Linked DNA regions of Drosophila melanogaster. The protein of the gene in region 1 interacts with the protein of each later gene in a pairwise test. Each region holds a gene or a part of one and is shown on either strand. Other genes may lie near its edges.

Region 1 (3,755 bases):
TCAAAAGCTGGCATAAGTATATCAAATTTCCAGTAATTGATGATACAAATAAATATTATTAACATATTTTATAAAAAATGATTCTTTGAATAGATTAGCAACACTATTACGGACTATATAATTTAAATTACATTTGTAGAAATAGAAATTGTATGGTCATAGTTTTGATAACATTCAAAACGATGCCGCCCCCTGAAAAATAGTTGTCATCCTCAATTCAATGATGCACCATAGACCCATAGCCCCATACCCCGCCCATGGTCTTAACCCACATGTTGCCCCTGAGTCGCATGGCCTTAACCCTAACCTAGCGCAACTTTTGTCGACTGAATTCGTTTAACTCGTGTGCGGGGGAAAAAACGCCAAAACTAAACTCAGCGTGTGTGCACGAAAGAGAGGGGCGAGCGCTAAGAGGGAGTATGAGAGGGAGAGAAAAACACATGGTTCCAGGCCACGCGAATCTGCGATATAAAATGCATCCTTAGAAATTACAGAAGAAAACAATTGCAGATAAAAAAAACAGCAACAACAACAAAATGGGTGGACGAGGAAAGAGCGAAAGGCGCAAGAAAAGGAGAAACAACAATTATTGAATGAGTTGGCTACTGCTCCTTCTTCTCATTATTATTCTCCTTCATCAGCTTCTGCAGCCGCTTTGTTTTTGTTTTATGCATGTGTGTGTGGGTAAATGTGAGTGTGTCAAAATTTAGCAACAAAGAAATTTATATTAAGTCATGCTATTGACGGCAACAACAAAAAAGCCAGCTAACTTAAACTTACCATTTTGATTCTCCTGCTTACTGCTAACGGTGGTTGTTCTTGATGTTCGTCCCTCCGATGGTTCTTGTTGTTGTTGTTAACCACAAAAAAAAAATCAACAGACCGCGCACCCACGCGTTTTTCGTTCTTTTCTTGGTTTTTTTTTGTGTTTTGTTTAAAATTTATATATTAATTTCTTTTTAACAATGCGTTTTTGATGCTGTCAACGGAACAGAACAATTGTGCGGCAAGTTAGATAGCAAATGCAGCAAATATAAAAGGCTGGACTCCGCAATTTTCAGCGCGTTAGAAATGTTTTTGTTGTTGTTGTTCTTCCTGTTGTTATTGGTGTTGCGATAATGACTGCATGCGTGTGTGCATGCGTGTGTGTTGTTGTTGTTGAGTGTGTTTTTCTTTTGTTGCTGCACGCGGTATTTCGCTTCGGATAAATTTGTTCGTATGCGTTGTACCGCGCAATACACGCAAAACGAGGAATCGGAATAAAGGAGGAAGGAAACGAGAACGAGACGAGAATGAAGCGACGAAGCCGAAAACACACGTAACATGCCAACTATCGCAACTAACGAGATGCCAACTAGATAGAGCTGGAAAAACATCGATGAGAATCGATAATGGTGAAGCGAGAAAACGTCAGTTTGACGATTATTGATAAGAATGCCGATGTATACTAAAACTTATATTTGGGCACACTTATTTATAGCGTGTTTGCTCTAAAAATATTAATAGCTTAATATTACTTATAATATATATATATGGAAAATATTTTAAAAATATAGATATTTAAATGAAAACATTTTAAATTGCACAAAGGGAGACATAATAAACTTACTTGGTATTTAAACAAATCTATCGGTCTGGCACGCGGTGCACACAAGACTATCGATAAATGGCGCGCGTCTTATTTCTTTATATTTCATGATATATATCCGTTAAATTCTAATCACGTTACAACAAAGTATATGCAAGTTTAACATGGTAAATGAGAAGCGAGCTTCAGCTGTTGCATTTAAATAAATGATGCCAACTGCAATGTACATTAATGCATTTAAATATGTTTTGCCAACTTTAATGTTCAGCTAATTTGTTTATGAAACTGAAAGTAATTAGAAGACTTTCAATCTAAAAAAAGTATAGAAAAAATATATATTGACATTCAAGATATTTAAGATACTTGTGGGGTATTAATTTGCAAAATTTCTGCAAACTTCGACGCTATCGATAAGCATCGATTATTCTTTTTCTTCCACCTCTAGCACCACATGCGTGTTGTTGCTTGGGCATCAAAATTTGTCGGTAAGTCTGGTTTTCCCGCTTTCAATTTCGCAATCCGCCGACACAAGTCCCTAAAAGTCCGCCGATTTCAGACGGTCCGCGTTGCTGATTGTTATTGAGAAGATAAGGAACGAGAAGAACCGGTACTACGCCAGGAGACAGGACTCAGGATCAAAGGCTTCCACGGACACGAAAAGGAATCCACATAGCTAACGAAATGCCTAACGACACTGTGGTAAAGGTGCAGGAGTACAAGGACTCGTTGATCCTCAAGGCAGAGCTGCTAATCACCAAGGGGTTCCCGGAGAATATCGTCCGGCTGAACGAGCTGCTGGCCACGCCGATCTTCAACGAGCGCAACTTCGAAGAAGTGCACCAGGACCTCAACATCCCGGTCCTGCCGCCTCTCCTGGTTAAAAACGAGTTGGAGGATCGTGACAGTCTGCCCACCAAGCGCCAGCGCGTGGATGTCATCGTCTCTGGGCAGCCTGTCATGGGTCTGCCCGCCGGTACAGTGCCGTGCAACAAGCCGCTCTGCGAGATGATCAAGGTCGTCAAGCCTATCATCAGGAAGCTTGTGGAGGATTGTAAGTACACCGTATATTCAAGCGTCTCAACCTAATAAATGTTTTTATGCTATTCAAGAGCCCCTTCAATTTTCCTAAAACAATGAATTCCAAGAATTTTTACATTCGAACGGTACAAATGCCAGTAGCTAAAGTTTTGCCTGACATTAAGCTTTTTAATGAATACCTAGTAATTTCTGAATTGATTTCTTTTGCAGCCAATCTACTTAAGATGTGGATCTCCTTTATGATACCCAAGATCGAGGATGGCAACAACTTTGGCGTCTCCATTCAAGAGGACACGCTTGCCGAAATTCAAACTGTGGAATCCGAGGCGGCCGCCTTCTTTGACCAGATATCGCGCTATTTCTTGTCGCGCGCCAAGGTGGTGTCCAAGGTGGCCAAGTATCCGCACATCGATGATTATCGGCGCGCAGTCGTCGAACTTGACGAGAAGGAGTACCTCAGCTTGTGGCTGGTCGTTTGTGAGGTCCGCAATCGCTACTCCTCGCTGCACGACATTGTTATTAAGAACCTCGAGAAGCTAAAGAAGCCGCGCTCCTCAAATACCGAAAGCCTGTATTAGGCTAGGTATTTCCGAAGCCCGAGCCTCAACTTTTTTTTTTCCTTTCCATCATCTTACTTTTCAATCAATAATCAGCCCGTAGAGCGGACGGTCAGCAATTCTTGTCGCTACTCAAAAAGCTAAGATTTTCCAATTCGGTTTACAAACATCAAAATTCTTTAATTGAAGAGCAGTGATTGAACAATAGCTGTAGCCTAACTACCATCAACTATTAATCCATTTGTACTACGTCTAGAATGTAATGTTGAGATTGGCGTACAATACAAGAAACCGATGCTGTATAGATTCCACTAATAGCTATAGCTATGCATAAAAAGAATAGGCGAGCTCCATTGACACATTTTTTCAACATTTCCTAATGTAAATTTATAACACGGGCGCCCCTCATACGGAAAATGTCCTTAAAAATGTGTGAAATATAAATCTTTATAAGTAATTCGCTCCGAATAGGTAACACTGTGCTTGTTTTCTTGTTTTACGTATTGACTATGGGTTCTACTTTGGGGATTGATATCTATCGCAAAATCGAAACAGGCGCCCAGACATTTAAT
Region 2 (3,755 bases), on another chromosome or scaffold:
TGCATTTTCCTTCTGACCGCCGTCGTCTGCTGGCTTTTCTGGCTGTGCTGCTATTTGGCGCAACTGAATCCACTGCTGGGGCCGAAACTCAATGGAAACACCATTCGGATCATTGCCTCGTCCTGGGGAAATCCCATCAAGGAGGGATAAGGAAAGCCCACATAGGAATCTCCCACCTAGCTAATCTTTGGCGGTTGCTTCTTCCGCGTATTTCCGGATCTTAAGCCACATCACACACAGTCGGTGAAACCACGGAAGCAGTGGCTTCGCCAAACCCTTTTTGTACTTCAATACTGGCAGCAAGTGGACAAGGTTGGGCTACGGCTATCCAAGCCCCAGATACGCCCCACTATTTCCAAACTAACCACATTAACCTCTGGACGTAAACTTTCACTGTACATTTTGTTGTTGCTTATAGCTCAATATCTCTGATCACCATATTCTTTATGTTTACTGCAAAACATAAGCCATGTATTCCACCCAAAAATCCAATTATTGCAATTTAATTCTCAACAAACTTGCCACATGAGCGATTTTTGTAGTCAGATTATTATTTACCTATTTTTCCGTAGTGTAGATAATTTACTAATCAGTCATTGTATTTGTGATTTAGCTATTGGCAAATATAGAACAATTTTTTCGTATTATTTTCCTATTCGTGTTTATTTATTATTAGTTTTTAGTATTTACATTGAAAACCAAAAATGTCTAGCAATGTATATTTATAAGTTTACGCCCCATTTAGCTTTTCCCGAAATCTATAGTTCATATATTAGCTTAAATATTATGTTTCTCTTAATTTATATTTGTTTTTCAGAATTCTTTTTTCCCATTATATAGTTTAGTTTGTTTAGTATGAAAATGTTTCATTTCGGAAGTGCAATTTATGTTATTTTTAGAACAATGCATCCGAATAGGGTTATTGTATTTTCGCCTTAATGTGGAAGGGGGCGTGCCCGGTGGTTGACCATAACTGGAGCAAAAACACAAAGTCCCCGCACATGGCGCACTCGGTGCACTTGCACTCTTGGCCATGTGGAGGCCGACTTAATCAATGGAAACGCTGGCAGGGAATGGGAATGGCCCGAGCGGAGCCAACTTGGCGGTTGTGGGCAGGGAAACGAGAGAGCGGGGTATTCGAGGAGCAGCAGGGGAGCGGGGTGTCCTGCTCTTTTCAGCAATATGTGAATGCGGAACTATTGATTTTGCAATAAAAGTGCGCGCGCAGAGCCGAGATTTATGCCAAAAGCGGAGAGTAGCGAATTCCACGAGACCCGCCACGATGTGTGCCATGTTGTCGGCGGTCAGTGAGGAGAAGCCGGAGAGCTGGAGCACTACTAGAGAGCTGTGAAATCCGGAGACCCAGAGCCGAGCCGAATGCAGTCGCCAGTGCGGAGCAGAAAGCCTTGGGTCACGAGCCACCAGCTGCCAGTAACTCGAAGGGAAAAAATAATTACCACAGAACAGCACTGCTCGAGAATTAAGAAATAATTGTACATAAATTATAAATCCCAATAATAGCCAGATAATTGTAAAAAGAAGCGGAATTCCTGGAACTGTGTGAATTCTATCTCCAAATCGACAGGAAAATCAACTGGCACGTGATGCAACCAACGCGTATGGATGGGCCCAGTGATTAAAGTGAATTTCTGTGGGGTCAGCTAGCCAAAAATCGATAGGTTTGTGGCCTATCCAAGGAACGTGTCCTCCAGCTGGAAACGTGCGCAGCCTGCAGAGTAACCAGTTTTCCCTTTTTTTGTGGACCCATTGAAAAGTCGGTGGAAAATCTCAACCTACGCAGGGTTATATAACCGCACAACATACAAAACCGCCCACGCAGCTTTGCAGCTAAATCGATAGACTAAAAACCGACATGACGAGCTTCTAATTGGATTGGATTGCACGCGAGGGATTAACCAGCACAGGGATTAACCAGAGGAGGCACCAGTGACCACCACCCACTTGCTACTTGGAATTACAGGGTAGTCGCGCGTTAAAAAATGGGCAAGAAAAAGGTGCCCGTTGAGGACCTGGTGGTTCCACCGCAGGACACGCGAATATGCGGCACCATATGCATCTGCCAGATGACCCTGGTGCTCAGCTCGGTGGCTCTCGTCTACCTCACGGTGGCCATATATATGCCCTCAACCAGGGCCTTCAAAAGTGGCATCGATCCCACGCCGGTGATGTGCACCACCACGCGGGCGGTGAACAAGGACAACTGCGAGTGGGGCAGTTGTGGCGAGTGGTGTCTGAGCAAGACTTCCGGAGCCTGCATCCAGATCTATGTGAATCTGCGCAGCAATGGCAGCAATCTCATATTCCAGAACTGCACCAACTCGGCCAATAAAACGTGCTACGGGATCGACCAGGATCGCGCGGACAAGGCCAGGTGCATCAATGATGAGTGCAAGAATCTCACGGGCACCTTCAATTGCACCGCTGGCCAGTGTCTGAACATCACGGATGCCTTCGAGTGCATCTTCCACAACAGTGATGCACCAGTCAAGTGTTCCGGCAGGCGGGGAAAGATCAACTGCATGGACATCAGCGGGCTGTACTCCTGCAGTCGAGGAACGTGCCGGAAGATCCGTACTCCCTATAACTGTGACCGAAGGTGCGTGGACATCCCAACACGGAACAAGAACGTGGTGGTCCTCAGCGGGGACAAGGTCTACCTGTCGCAGTGCCAGAATGCCATCAATGCCGAAACTCTGGAGGAGGTGTGGAACGAGTCAAGCGAAAATGTAGCAATGACATCGTGTTACTTCATCAGGCACACCTCGGACCAGGTGGATGCGGTGGACTGCATCAATGGCTCCACGCTGGAGACCAATATGCTCAGCGATCTGACCAACTTCACATATCTGAGCCACCTGCACGTGTCGGTGGCCACTCCAGTGCCGGAAATAGCACCACCCGATGTGGACCTCACCATTTCCAACGAGTCCAAGCTGATGATCAATCTGGAGGGGTGTGTGAACACTCTGATGGACGAGTGCAAGGAGTTCCTCAAGGACTTCGGACGCGATGGCAGCGACCACAATGCCCGGGCCCGCTTCCCGTGCTTCTATTCGCCCGGAAAGAAGGACGTGGTGGTGGCCCGATTCGACCTGGAGGTCACCTATCGCCAGTTTGTGTTCGCCTCGGTAGTGCCATCGGTTCTGTTCGTGGTCTCGTGTTCCATCCTGATCATGTGCCAGACCACCGTCTACGTGGGCGACGATGCCAAGATGCGCTTCAAAGGATGTGTGGACACGGAGACGGTCCTGAATAAGAACAACGTGGGCGCACCCACCAACGGCGACATGGGCGGGGGCGGCGGCGATGAGGTTATGGCCCTATGAGATCCGTCACGTAAGCTCTATATTTCGCTACTCTAATATCTGGACATCGTGTCTCTATAATGAATTCTCTCTGATGACTTGCAGTCTTCGCGGTAGCCCACATGTGAGAGGTCTACCAGGTGTTCTAGGTCTCTATTTTCAATATTCCTTGTTTCGAATTCCAAAGAAAGTAGAAAAGTCTAGATTTATTCCACCTTATAAGATATCATTAGATACTAGAACCGAAGGGATATTAGTCAGGTGTTATACTCCCACGACATGTTCTTAAAAATTGCAACAAAAATAATGACTATACCCATCCTAACTCCTTTTTAGAAGAGCAATTAGTATAGTTATATTCAAAGAATCCATATTATTGAAATTCTGAAACTTAGGTAGTTCCCTAATTTGCCCTTATTATCTTTAATT

What was found. The genes of interacting proteins can lie anywhere in the genome.
Region 2: the proteins of REG (region 1) and Teh3 interact in a two-hybrid assay, tested with the Drosophila melanogaster proteins (one large-scale study listed by BioGRID).

The regions. Positions count from the first base shown.
Region 1 is NC_004354.4:13,210,320-13,214,074, forward strand, and holds the start of REG (proteasome regulator gamma), read left to right. Parts: upstream 1-2,005; 5' UTR 2,006-2,073; intron 2,074-2,130; 5' UTR 2,131-2,269; coding exon 2,270-2,639; intron 2,640-2,836; coding exon 2,837-3,204; 3' UTR 3,205-3,755. Other genes in the region: sno (strawberry notch), read right to left, coding at 781-783.
Region 2 is NT_037436.4:4,182,909-4,186,663, reverse strand, and holds the start of Teh3 (tipE homolog 3), read left to right. Parts: upstream 1-2,000; coding exon 2,001-3,347; 3' UTR 3,348-3,357; intron 3,358-3,755. Other genes in the region: VhaM9.7-c (vacuolar H[+] ATPase M9.7 subunit c), read left to right, coding at 1-150.